Astyanax mexicanus: one gene and its partner. The protein of the gene in region 1 binds, or shares a complex with, the protein of each later gene. Links are inferred from orthologs where the notes say so. Each region holds a gene or a part of one and is shown on either strand. Other genes may lie near its edges.

Region 1 (7,380 bases):
GTGTATTGAGGTTAGGACAAAAACTTTGGCCTCCTCATACTCTTTGTATGGCTGGGTTTTAGTTCTAATATAATACAATACCCTGGTAGCAACTTTAATCCAGCCAATTAAGAGTATCGCATGATCAAATGGCCACGTGTTTGAGATTATCTGTCATTTTACTGCTGAGCAGCTCATAATCCCCCTAACTCACACACACACACACACACATCCTCATACTTTGTGACCCAATGACATCTGCTTTAATGGCTACACTGAACTAGTCACATATTCCTTCAAGTTTCCAACACTCTCCAAAACAAAAGCCTCTTCTCATTAAATTTACACCACCGTAGTTAAACAAAAGCATGGATAGATCTTGTCATCTGGCCAAATGTAGTTTGTGACACAGGATGACCAAAATTAAATGTCAAATTTACTAACAAGAGTGATGACAGTTGGTTTTAAGTATTCTAAACATTACATGCTAATGTCATACTAAAATAAAATACCAACATTTAGTTTTGCAGTTTGGTGACCAAAACCCAAAGTCAGCTAAACGTCCTAATGTGTACCGATCTCATCTCCAAATCTCCAAACACTCATGCAGTCATATTCACCCCAGTCAAACCCAATAGTTTCCAAAGCCAAAGCCAAAGGCATTTTTTCCACAGAATGTATACCAACAGACTGCCTGTCTTCTGTTTACCAGACAATACATGCAATTATATTAGATAGTAAAAAAAATGCTTTTGGGACTGCCATTGACCTTCCTTCTTACACCTTTTCCAATCTTTTAAACACAACATTCTTTAAAACCAAAGTTAATATATCCAGACTGCTCATATAATTATTTTACTGTTCTAACCTGCCTTCCATTTACCAAAGAAACACATGTACTAAGACAAGCTGACATTGTAATCCTTGTTGGTCTTTCTTTTCTTCCATTTCCCAATCATTCCTCTAACCCTTGACACTCCTTTTACATTACATTTGACATTTTTCTTCAACTGGTTTGGAATAAAAACTAGCCTTCCTCCTCAGAGCTTTCCCAATTATACAGTCAAACCCTACAGTCTCCAAAACCAAAGTGTAAGCCATTTCTCTCACTAATGTAAAACCACCCGACTGCCCAAAACAGTTTTCTTTCCAAAATAATTACCCTGGCGCTGACTGCCCTAACCTGCCTTCTACTTAACAGGTCATGCATTAAATTATATTGGATCAACCTGAAACCTGAAAACAGACATTAAAAGATGTTGCCATTGACTTGTTCACTGGGTTTCTCCTTAGACTTTTTCTAATAATTCCTTCTCATATTCACACCTGTCAAACCAAACAGTCAGCAATCCCAATGTCCAACCTATTCTCCCACTTATTTGATATCCCCAGACTGCACAAAAACTACTTTCATCCTGGAGATTACCACGTTAATATGTTCACTTGCCAAACAATGCAAACATTTAATCTGAATTATGGATTATTGCACAATGGAATGAAAAATAAAAGAGGATGAGTTTGGGTTATCATGCCAACTGCCAAACCCACCAGTCTTCTTTAAAACCTGTCAAAGAGATTTTACACTAAATTAATAACTCCTACTTTCCTGAGACCTTTTCTAAAAATTATTCCTCATATTCACACCTGTCAAACCAAAGAGTCTCCAAACCCAACATCCAAGCTTTTTTTCCTACTAATTTAACACAACTAGACTGCACAGAAACTACTTTTGCAATTGTTTTTACTATGTTAACATAACATTTATATTCCAAGCAATGCTTGTTATTTAATAATAATAATTATTATTGTAGTTTATTTGATTAAACAGTGAAAGAGAATGATGTTGCTATTGTTATTATACCAAGTGATATTACATATAATACATATGCTAATCCTGGTGTTTACTATTTAACCTGCCTACTACTTACCACACAGTGTATTACATGAAAGATGACAAACATTGAAAGATGTTGTCATTGACTTTTTCACTTGGTTTCTTCCTCAGACCTTTTCTTATGCTTCCTAACATTCACACCTGTCAAACCAGCCAGTCTCCAAACCCCAACGTCCAAGCTATTTTGCCACAAGCTGAGTACAACCAGAGCACCAAAGCACTACTTTTTACCCTGGTGTTACATGTTAGTTAAACCTGAAATATGAAGTTTTGGTTGAAAACAAACATTGAAAGATGTTGCCATTGACTTGTTCACTGGTTTCCTCCGCAGACCTTTTCTTATGCTTCCTAAATATTCACACCTGTTACACCAAACTGTCTCCAAACCCAACATCCACGTTTTTTCCCTACTAATTTATTACAACCAGACTGAGCAAAGAACAACTTTTATCATGTTTTTTACTCTATTAACATGCCTTTTATCTACCAAGTTTAACCTGACATCAGACATTACACTAGTTTTATCCTGGTGTTTACTGTTTTAACCTGCCTTCTACTTACTACACATTGCATTAGATACATGACGTTTAGGTTAAAAACACACGTTGAAAGATGTTGTCATTGGCTTCTTTACAGGGTTTCCTCCTGAGAGCTTCAGATCATGCAGTTAGTTCTTCAGCTGAAACTTACCAGGGCATCTCCTTGGTCCGGGTCGTAATCGTAGTAATCTTGGCTGGACTGGAAGGCGAGGTTGGTGTAGAGGAAAGGCGAATAGGCGAGCAACACACTTAATCCAAAAAAGTTCATTTTTTAAAGCGGGAGATCTCACAAAGTCCGGACGGGAAACCGACCACTGTCTCAGCAGCAGGTCTACACTTCTCCTCCTCCTCCTCTTCCTCCTCTTTCTCCTCAGTCTGCGGCTCTTTTTCAGGAGAAATCAGTGAGAATATCCAGTATTTTAGCAGCAGAAAGCTCCAGAAACGCGTCCGCGCGCTGCGCTGACCGTTAAAAACCGTTACTGACCGTTACTTTTTTAATCGTTTGAATCGCTCTCACGCGCGGCGCTCGCGGGAAAGTTGCGCGGGAGCGGCTGGAGCTGCAGCGGCGGAGCTGGATGTGCTCGGCGGGCTGAATGGCATGTTGAGCGCGGGTTCAGGCTGTCACACTGCGGCTCTGCCTCTCCTCCCCCTCCGCCTCTCCTCTCCTCTTCTCTTTTTTTCTGCTTCTCTTTTTTCTCCTCAGACTGGAATTGATGCAACTTTCACACACAGCGCGAGCCGTCTGGCTCAGAGCAGTAGGAGTGGAGGAGGCACGCGCACCCTCCTCCTCCTCCTCCCTCCTCCCTCCTGAACATCACCCCACCCCCCCATACACACACAAATACACACACACATATACACACACACAAGACTTTTTTTGCACAGGATTTTTTACACACACTGTATTTGTACACAGCATTATCAGTCAATACATTCTACTAGTTCTACTATAGTTTAGCCTAAAGTAAGTTTGGCTTGGGTTAATAGTTTATCTCACTTCATCCATATCTTTACAGTGTGCACTGTTGTTACATATGGAAGTTCAGGGGAACTGTGGAGGTCAAGATTACTAGAGCAAGCATTAGAACCTGCAATATATGATAGCTTTGTACATCTCAGACTTTTCTCTGTCAGCGAGGTAGTCTGTAATCTGAAATGGCTTTCAGTTAAAGGAGAACTCTCATATCATGATAAAACATGATACAAGTACAAGTACTTTGATGAATAGCACACCTCTGTTCTCCCACAGCGTTCCGAGATGTTAACAGAAATGTTAACAGTTTGTCCAAACACCCTTCAGATTGCGTGACACGGGGCATAATTTTCCCTGATAAATCACTTTTTCCACCGTTATCCAGCTCAAAGTAGCCCCACACCTCAACAAGAAGCTTATTAAAAACCTTTGTTTACATCCTATAACACTAGCTTCAGCTCTGAACTCTGCCATCACTGTACTGATAATAACAGACACACACATATATATATATATATACTGTATATACACATAGACTCCACAAAGCGTAGCAGCCAGCAGCGCCAGGAGGTAGGCTATGCGGAATCTATGTATATATGGATTCTAGCAAGGAGGTGTTGAGCTACTTCGAGCTGGATAACAGTTTTATTACTGAGTAGAAGTGTGAAATATAACACATGTCCCCCTGAGAAAATAATCCCATCTTGATAGGGCTTTAATGTGTTTGAGAGCATCAATTAAAGTAAAGTAGTGAAGAGGTAGAGTTACAGGTATACAGTGAATAGTGAATATTTGAGTAATGTTCTAATACATATTATGAGAAGCAACAACTACAGTTCAGAAGTACAGAAAAGAAGGTCAGTCAATTCGAGACATTGATAGTATTGATAGCAAGTGCAGTCGCAAAAAAGACCATCAAAAACTGTATAATGATTAAACTGGCCCTCATCAGGACCACCCCAGGAAAGGAAGAGCAAGAGTTTCCTCTGTTGCACAGGATAAGTTAATCAGAGTTACCAGCCGCAAAATTTGCAAGTTAAAAACAGCAGTCAAGATAAGAGCACCTAATTGCTTCACAGGGCATTTTGGTTAGTTTAACCCTACACCAGTTTCTTAATTACACTCCAAAAACAAATAAACACTCTAAAGAGCTTTCACTTGATGTGTCTTAATTAATTTAAAATGTACTCTTACTTAAACATCTTGAATAAAATCATGCACAGGAAATTTGGCAGTGTTAAAACAACACTGTTAGTGTTAAATCAACACTTACTTACTTATTAGTGTTAAACTTTACACTCTCAGTGTTAATTTAACACTAACAGTGTTGATTTAACACTGCCAAATTTCCTGTGTGGTTCTTCAGGGAGCCAAAACTGGTTCCTCTATGGCATTGTTTAAAGAACCAGTTATATCGTATGTTATAGTTTAATAAATACACCAAAACTGATTTTTTTTTTATTTGATTACGTACTTATGTATCATAGGTGAAACATAATCTGTATGGTGTGCAAACATTTACTATACACAATATTAGTTAAGCTAAATAGGATGTTTATGTTTGGATTGTTAAACATGGTTAAACACAGGACAATCTGACCGAGAAAGGTCACTGATGTTCCCTAAAGCCTAATGTAACAGAAGAATTAAAGCACCTTTATTTTCACAAGTATAGTCGATTATGTAGTCTAAAATAATGTATACGTAATAATACATTCATAAAGCATTCATATTTATAGTGTTCATAGCATCGCTACGAACCTCAACTCCCACCGAGGCAAAACAACACAGTAGGCTCTTAAAATTCAACTGCCCCCAAGTGAAGTGTAGTACACGCTCTGCATCATCAAGCGCTGCTGAACTTCACGCTACGAACCGATGACAGACGTGTGTGTGTGTGTGTGTGTGTGTGTGATGTGTCTCTGGTGGGGATGGAGGAGCCGGACGGAGCTCCAGCTCTGAGAGGTGGGTAAATAATTGGTTTGGAGGGCCGCTTCTCTACAGGGGGTCTCTCAGCCGTCAGAGCTGAAGTTCACCGAGGGCTCTTGTAATGCAGAGGAATGCAGGTCCGCTGTGAGGGATTTTCCTACCATAGTGTTTCTTTCACAGCTGTCTGAGGCTCTTAACTCCGTGGTCAACGCGAGGCCGGCTGGAGGAAAAGAGCGGCCATGCGGTGTCAAGCACATTATGTACTCAGACTAATGGCCTAATTGAGCAGGAGAGCTTGTTTTTTAGACTTCGGTCATCAGTGTAATTCACCTGCTCCTCTGGCGTAGCTGAGCAGCCAAATAACGGTATCCCTCTGCGGAACACCGGGAAGAATTTTCCATGAAAAGCTTACATAAAACATCTGATAATAGAAGACACATGGCAGGAGAGCAGTGCAGTACAGAATATCATGCAGTGAGGAGAAGTGACGTCGGACCACGAGCTGTAAAATCACTGTTTATGATCACGGTAGCCTGGCTAATGCTGGATGTTTGGCTTATCTGATACACTAAAGCACTATTATGCACTATTGTGACTGGCAGAAAACTCTACATGTGAGTTAAGCACATACAGTTTAGGCCCATAATTATTTGGACAGTGACGTAATGTGCATGATTTGGGCTCTGCATGCCAACCCTGTCGTTAGCAATTAGAGGGGTCAAGTTCTGGACGAGCTGATGGGTAAACCTATTTCCGGTTTGAAGCACCGCTACAAAAATGAAGAGTTTTATTATTCCTCTTTATTCTTTTTCCGCACTTTAAGCAGGACGATGTTGCCAGAACCGTCAGGGACCTATCAAGGAACAAACGAGTGAAACTCATTAAGGCATATAAGTTCTTTTTCGAGCAGTTTATTTTTGATTATGAAGGTAAATGACCAAAAATCTACAGTTCTGTAGTTTAGGCTAGCCAAGTTAGCGCCTTAGCTCCGTGCTGACTTAACCTTCTATCATTTAAGCCTTCATTAGACTGTTTGTTTATCTTATTGTTAAATAAAGCATATAATTTATTATACTATTATAGGTGTCCAATATTGTAGATAAGGAGATCCGTGTAGGGGCTAGGTGCTACCGGTGTTCCATCGAGTTGTGCTACCCATCCAATATATGCTTCTTTCCACCAGTGCGCCTTCAGTTCATCTTCATCTACAACTCACTGTAATTCTTTGTCTGAGTGATACACACGTGTAAATATCAATTAATAGTCGTAAACGGCGGATAGTCGTTAATCCTGCACTTTATGTTGTCTATTGTTTGCATGTAAGCATTAAAAATACAAAAAAATATATATATACAAAATATATCTAATCTCGTATCATTACCTTAACTTATCCATCACTGAGATCTACACCACACGCTGCATCCGCAAAGCCACCAGCATTGTGGACGACCCCACCCATCCCTCACACGGACTCTTCGCTCTGATGCCGTCCGGCAGAAGATACAGGAGCATCCGAGCCTCCACTACTAGACTCTGCAACAGCTTCATCCACCAGGCAGTCAGACTTCTCAACACACAGAGACAGAACTGAACCCCCACCCCACCCACCACTCACCCAACACACTCGCACAAAACTAAACTGTACACCCCCCCCTTTACACAAAACTAAACTGTACACCCCCCCCCCTTTACACTCACAAAGAACTGAACTTCACACACACACACACCCAGTCAGCACACAGAGGCTGACATGACTTTATTTGCTGCACTCTTAAAAACTATAAACTCTACCTCAGTAACTGCTGTGATTATATATGTTCTATATGTTACAGTATGTCACACATCTCTGCACCTTATCCCCACTATACACTTATTATACCGTATCGGTACTGCACTGTCCTGTCTTTAAATTGTCTCGTCCTTCTATTTATTGTATTTATTGTTATTTAGTGTTATCATTTTATAATTTTATGTTGCACTGTCGTCACTCCTGCACTTTATGTTGTCTATTGCTTGTGGTTCTATGTTGCACCATGGTTCCGGAGGAACGTAATTTCATCACACTG
Region 2 (7,584 bases), on another chromosome or scaffold:
GTGAATAGCTGCTGGAGGCAGTGTGTGGGTGTGTGTTTGTGTCTGCATGTCTGTTGAATCTCCTTTCTCCTGGAGGTAATTATGTTAGATGTGGGCATTAGCTCACCACTCAGAGCACACTACAGTAGATTATATTTAAAACTAAGAGATTCCCCAGTCTCTCAGCCTGATAATGACATTCTCACTTCAAACGCACCCCCGGAACCTCACCAAGTAACTCTCAATCTGTTTTTAATCACCAGTATGGTAACATAAAACACATTGCAGTGAGTGAGCCGTTCGACGAAAGGGACAAGTGGAGGATTTTCCTTCTGAGACTTAAGATAAATATCTACTCCAACTTTCATGTAGGAGATTCATTGCTGTGAGTGTTTTTACATGTTTTTTTTTTCGATTACCATGTTTATTGCAGCAGTTCCCTGCGCTGTTTGATTTTGAGGATGATTTTAGAAACCAAACAAAACTAAAATGGTAGAAATGTAATATCAGCCAGCTCAGGGGCTAAATGTTGCCCATTTGAGGAAATTGCATTAAAGGACAACTCAGGCTTACTTGAAATCAATAAATGTGGACAACTTCTTCTGCAGCCCTAGGCTCTTTTCTGTTGAACAGGCTTTTGTTTCTGATTAAATAACAATCATCTCTTTTGTCCCTCCAAGCTGCAATTTTCCCATTTTTGCCTCAGTTAAGGTTAGTGCTCGGTTAAATAATTGGGGACCACTTCTAATAATTGGACCCAGTCTTCACTACAAGAAAATCTTGGTAGCCTAGGCAAATTCCCTGCGCCACCAAGATTCCATGTGTTATTTATTTGTGGAGATGAAGATTATGGAGTTTAAGGGAGAGACATATATCTGGGGTTTTTATGGCTCTGGATTCCAAATGTTAAGGGAGGACATATTTTCACATAAGACTCCACCCAAGGTGCAGGGATTCTGGAAAACGCCTCAGCAACACTTCAAGTTCTCCTCAGATGCCTCATGGATCTCACTAACTGACACCTGTGATGACGGCTGCTTTCTTAGCTTAATTTTTACTCAAAATTAATTGAGATGAACCTTCCATACCAAACACTAGAGCACCACATCCTTCAGAATGCTTGAGTTTGCTATAAGAATATTCCCATGTTTTGATTCCTCAGATTCTGTGGCTTTTGTCATCTTAAATGGTCCTCTAGATATTATGACTGGCAGACATCATATTCCTCACAGAGGTGGGCTATCATGCAGATGAAAATACTGCAATTAAAAACACTCATGCATGATTATCATAATGAACAGAACTGACATATAACCCAAAGTCAGCTTGAACAGAGTGATCCCTTATGTAACAGAAGCCAATTATAATTTCTTGAAAGAACAATAAAGTCACTAATGAGGTGAAAAGTGAATAAAGGCTGTATTAGGGCTGTTTTCCTGTTGTCGGTAACTGATGACTTTAGCAGACCAAGTGCTGTTCTGTTGAAAAGAGCATTTTAAATTAAAGTGTGACTGCTGCTGCCAAAACTTGTCAAATTGACAAGTGGATCTGACATGGATGCTTGACTTGCAGACTTTCAGGTAGGCCTTCCTGACAGTGCTTAACATGCCATGCTCTAACCAATCTACTTCACCTTTAAAGCTGCACAATCTGATGAAATCTACTCCATTATCCTTAATCATCTAAAGGCTTTTGTGGCTTGTTACCATAATTGTTAGATTAATTTAAAGATAAACATAGACAGAGAAGATGCTCTGTGGATCCAAATATTCATTCATCCTCTTCTCTGGACCATCACATAGATGGCTAGGTTCCCAATATATATGCCCGCAAGTATGCAAGCAAAGATTTTGGTTGTTAAGTATGGCAGCTTGCTAAGCTTAGGAGGGAAGCATATGAGCTGCATTCAATCTCAAATTACCTTTAATATTAGCAATGACATCTCATAAACTGTGGCCAGTGCACCAGTGTCCAATAACAACAAACTGTCTACTGCTACTGAGATGCTGCACTAGTTAATAATGATGGACTGCTGCCCAAATCAGTTTTTTGTGTGGCATTAAGCTGCAGTCCATGACAACTTTTATCTCTGAGTGACAAGTTAATGTAAAAAATGGTTTATCAATTTCACCTTATAAATATTAATTTAATAGGATTCAATCGACTCAAATCTAAGTGAAATATACTCTTATTGACTACTGATTCATTCAGAATATAGTGGTGCCCGACCTTTTTGAGTGTTTTATATTTTTGCATAATTTAACCTACAACTTCTACAGATTTTCTTAAAACAAGTCCTAAAATGAGGTAAAAAGATCCAAATCAAACAAATCAGACAAAATGTTATGAATTGTCTATAAATTAACCCATTGTACCTTCCAAGCAACTAAAGGAGAATTTTCATCCATATAAAATTGCTGCATCCCAAAATTTAAAAAAAGAAAACTTATCCATCTGTGAAACACAGTGGTGGTAGTGTTATGGATTGGGTCTTTGGGCAAGGATGGCCTCTTATCATTTATGTAACAGTGGATTTGGACTAAAGCCAGTTCTGAAGGAAAAAGTCAGAACACCTGAGCTAAGAATGTGGGTCATGCAGCAAGACAACAACCCTAAGAAATAATCTGACTAAAAGTTTAATATTTCTATCTAATATTTCTGCCTTATTTTTGAATGTTTATTATCTTTGTTTTCTTTCAGCACTTTTAGAAGTGGCAAATATTTAAAGGGTTCCCACTTTTAAACATCTCTGTAGTTAAACTCTAAAACTGTAAAATAGACCAGAGTCTACATTTCTGAATTACTGAATTTTACACAGAAGCTCACTATTTCTTGAAAAAAGCAACATTAATGAGAAAATTCAGTAAAAACGCGAAAAAAACATACTGACCACACACACACACACATACACACAGCGGTTATCTGCAGCCTGTGTTGAGAGTTATCTAGGTAAAGTTTCTCACCTGAGAAAGAGGCGAGCCCGATCCAAATCCCACAGAAAACCCGGCTCTCTCTCTTCATCTCCGGATTTAATCTCCTCAATTTAAACTCGCGGGTTTTCTCCGCGCGGCGCGGGAAACTCCTCAGGTTCAGGTGTCGCGCGCCTCTCTCTCCTCGGCGCGGGAAGAGCGGGAGAAACAGCGGAGTAAAAACACGCAGAAACACGAAATTCAAGAGGACCTGAGTGGATTTACTATCATTTCCCCCCTTTCCTCCCTCCCGGACTCAACTCCCACCTCCTGCATAAACCGATCTGAGGGCAGCGGCTCAGACTCGGACCTTCAGGGTAGAAGTCTCCTCCTCAGACCAACTTCCCTCAGATAAACTCCCTCAGATTAACTACCTCAAATAAAATACATCAGATAAACTCCCTCAGATAAACTACCTCAAATAAAATACACCAGATAAACTTCCTCAGATAAACTCTCTTAGATAAACTCTCTCAGATAAACTCCCTCAGATAAACTCCCTCAGATAAACTCCCTTAGATAAACTCTCTCTGATAAACTCCCTCAGATAAACTCTCTCAGATAAACTCCCTCAGATAAACTCCCTTAGATAAACTCTCTCTGATAAACTCCCTCAGATAAACTACCTCAGAAAACCCCCCTCAGATAAACTCTCTCAGATAAACTCTCTCAGATAAACTCTCTCAGATAAACTCCCTCAGATAAACTGCCTCAGATAAACTCCCTCAGATAAACTACCTCAAATAAAATACCTCAGATAAACTCTCTCTGATAAACTCAATTCAAATTTACTTGATTGATTAGTCAGACTGACTGATTAGTCAGAAACCGATTTTGTGGATTGTTTTACTGACCATCAGATCAGCCTTTCCTCCAAAAATTGTCAGCTACACCTGTCTTTAATTTCAGTGCTGAAATGTTCCCAATGGACTGAAAATTTGATAAAGAGTATATCAAAATATTAAATACTGAACCTTTATATGAGCCTAATATTAGCACATTGGATGCATCAATACAAAGAATCGGATAGTTTTGGATTAATATTGAATTGTATTACAGAAAATCTTGTTATATTTTTTTCATATAAAGTTAGGAATATTTTTGTATCGTTTTGTTGTACTATAATTAATGTGTTAAGTTTCTATTATAGCTTGAATGACTTGACACTATATCTTAACAGTGTATCCCATTAGCCATGCTAAACTTAGGGCTACATGTATCTTAATCATAGAATACTACAGATATTCAGTGCATTTGAGGTGTAGAAGTCATATTTTTAAATCGCAATAGTCTCATATTTTGTGATAAATATTTTTGTACAAACCACCATGGGCAAAAACTAACCAGTTTAGATAATTTAGATGGGAGTATATTTTCATATTTGAACATCACTAACACACCGTCCGCAAACACGGCCACAACAAACCAGCAATGCATATCAATGTATTTCTTTTTAACCCACATTTACCAAAAAAGCTTGTTTTCAAGACCAGTGATTGCTTAGCCACAGTGAGAAACTCTTAAATCTAAGATTTCTATCTCCCCTAAAGCTACATGCCTTAATCAGTGTCTTGTGGTTTATTCTGCATATGTTGTTCTAACAGATCTGAAATGCCTCCATTTCAGAAATAAGAACGTATCCTGGCACCTCCATAAAGGACAAATATATAAAGAAAATCCTATTTGTACAGATAATGGTTGCTACATTTGCCTAATAGACAATTGCCCTGCAGCAGAACTCCAAAAGTCTCCTATACAAAGCTGTGTTATAAACACTTAGGTCATAAAATGTAATGCAATATTGCCACTTAATCTAATACATCTGAGACTCTTTGACAGACACAATTAGCATTGCCAGAAGGGTATTTGTTAAGGAACCTTCAAATCAAGAGCTTTCTTTTCTTTCCATTTCCCTGCTCCTGTTTTTTCTCAGATTCTTGGAAACTATTCCATTCCATCAAGACATACTTTTAAAAAAGGCCTACTTCTAAATATTAATCCCATATTGCTCTGAAAAGCCAAATACTCTTGGGAAAACAACCATGATACTAAACTCCCAGACCATGTACAGCAGCTGTGCTGACAAAACCACAGTTTAATTCAGCTTGAAATACTGCTCTACTTACAAATGTCATACAGAAAAAAGATGATTCCTGTTATTGGCCCCAACTGTCATCAGGTCCCAACCATTATACCTCTCGAGTTTTGGCTGTATGTCTTGAATTGCATTTACCAACAGCTGGCCCAGAAAAAAAATTTGACACTTCGCCATCTGCTGGGTTGGATTGTAATGGAATACAAGTACTGGGAATACGTACTGAGAATACACAAATTAACTACTTGTAGTCAGCCCATGATTTGTTTTGAAAAGCAGTGTTCAGAATATGCTGGGCAGATTTACTTATTTTCAGGGCCTTGTTAAAAGACAGGATTTCGTCCCCTAAATGGACATTTTTAAATGCATTCATTCAGGTTCTCTTGACTTATACCTTATAACACGCCTTGGCTATTTATTGCCCCCACACAAAAAAAAAACCTACACACCCAGTGATCTCCTGTTTTCATGTTCAAATAAGAATTGCAATTGTAGGCAGTGGGGTCACCAAAAGAACTATTATTTTTATTATAGGTGTCTGACGTTCTGAGCTATCGATACCATCATTAGGAGGCAGATGATCACAGACATCCAATCTTTCATTTTACAGATTATACCTATCTTCCGTCTAATCAGCAATGAGAGGACCATTTAACTCTCAACTTCAATGAGAAATCTCTTACTTTCAAGATTTAGCTCGGGCTTTAGAGCTACATTTTCTTGGTAAAATGAAAAGTACATGGAAACTCAAACTGGACACTGATTTTACAGAACAATAAGAAAAGACATAGGCTTCAAAGTACAATGTAAAAAAATCTGTAAAAATGTTTTATAGTCCGGCCTCCCTGCTGCCACATAAAAATATATAATTTTACGTAAGTTACAAAATGACAAATTTGATTCATTTTGGTAGGTGTGAATACAGTAATAACACACAACTAAACCAAGACCAGGTGAACACAGTTAGGTCTCTAGTGAACTCTAGTGAAGTTGTTTGTTTAGTGAGAAGGTGAAATGGATTTCTTCTTCAATTGTATTTATTGCTTCTGCAATAGATCAACACATGCTGCATTGAAGTTGCAAGTTTATGTCCATGTGTGCGTCTGTGTGTGTGTGAATAGCGTAGGTGTTAATGCAAAGTCTAAGTACACTTGTAGGTTAGGTTGCTGTTTGTTATTCATTGTTTGTTCATTGTTTGTCATATTTCTGTCTCAGATTCCTCAGATGGCTCTGCATCAAGAACCCCCAGTCAACAGCCGATACAACAAAGCAAGCAATTCCTTTTGGCAAACATTTATCCAGAGTTACATTTACAAACACCACCTAAACTTCACTGTCCAAAACACAAGCTTTACCTAAACCAAGCCAAGAAATGTCGTCAACATCTTTAGGCTTGGAGGATCCTGAGACTGACCATCAAAGAATAGAAATATTTATTGTGTTCAGTTTAATCAGTATTTTTTATTGGAAGAAGTGGATATTGCGTGTTTCAGACTAAAGACAAGAAGGAACATTCAGATGTATCAACAGCAAGTCCAAAAAGCTACAATCTGTTATAGTATGAGGTTGTGTCACAGTACATTTATGTGGGGACAGCATTAATGCAGAAAAGTATATAAAAATTTTAGATCAACATATTCTGTTTTTCAGACATATCTACTGTTCAAACTGTTCAACGCTGCCCATCTGAAAGTGATGCATGTCTAGCTCTCCTAATTGGCAATTATTAGATATAGTCATTTTCACAGATTGCAGACGACAACATATTTACTTTCTATGAACAGAAAAAAAGTTTATTTCCCATTTGGAGGAAACCTTAAAGACTCCTCCAATTAACCTGAGCAGGGTCTTCTTTTGAGTTGGGAATGAAGGAGAGGGAAAGAAAAAAGAGATAAAAGAAATATCTGTAAGTTTTTTTTTTACTCTTAGATAAAAGAGATTTACAGCAAAAAACAAACTGATGATGCCTGTAACCATGTTTACCCCTTTCAGTAGTTCAGGGTGTGTGATCTGAAAGGTAATAATGGTGAAAATGGATTAGACTAGACACTAATCATTACCAACGACTGCAGAAAATATGGATGCCATTAATTTCTGATCAATAGAAATAAAGAAATAAATCTCACAGCCAGAGTCCGACTCCCGACACCTTCTGCTAAAACACACCTAAGCCTAAAGAAAGATTTTCACACTGCATCAGTTTGTCCATTAACTGTAATGTTATAACAGTAAAAGTACAGTTCATATATTTTATTAAATATTAAAAGTATGAGTGAAAAATTATTTCATACACTCAGTGTCCAAACTATAAATATTATATAAACATTATTAGAAATCCAACAATAAAAATACATCACAGGAAGTTACCTGAATGAATCAGGTGTGTGTTAAATTTGTGATCCTCCCATTTCACACTGTGCTCAATAAGACTGACAACTTTGCACATTGTCAGCTGATCATCAGCACTTTCTAAACAGAACAGAAGAAAAACAGAACAGCACAAAAATGCTAATTATTATTTAGCTGCTGCTGCTAAATTTT

The links.
Region 2: the proteins of vegfc (region 1) and flt4 are in contact, whole or in part, in a crystal structure (PDB 4BSK), measured with the Homo sapiens proteins. The link is inferred for Astyanax mexicanus from reciprocal best matches to the Homo sapiens genes VEGFC and FLT4. Residues at the interface, in NP_005420.1 of Homo sapiens: Leu119, Asp123, Trp126, Gln130, Asn167, Arg210; in NP_891555.2 of Homo sapiens: Gln172, His199, Asp200, Ala201, Leu202, Tyr203.

Annotation. Positions count from the first base shown.
Region 1 is NC_064414.1:53,085,317-53,092,696, forward strand, and holds the start of vegfc (vascular endothelial growth factor C), read right to left. Parts: upstream 3,177-7,380; 5' UTR 2,681-3,176; coding exon 2,564-2,680; intron 1-2,563. UniProt on the Homo sapiens protein: Growth factor active in angiogenesis, and endothelial cell growth, stimulating their proliferation and migration and also has effects on the permeability of blood vessels.
Region 2 is NC_064417.1:66,206-73,789, reverse strand, and holds the start of flt4 (vascular endothelial growth factor receptor 3), read right to left. Parts: upstream 3,252-7,584; 5' UTR 3,001-3,251; coding exon 2,943-3,000; intron 1-2,942. UniProt on the Homo sapiens protein: Tyrosine-protein kinase that acts as a cell-surface receptor for VEGFC and VEGFD, and plays an essential role in adult lymphangiogenesis and in the development of the vascular network and the cardiovascular system during embryonic development.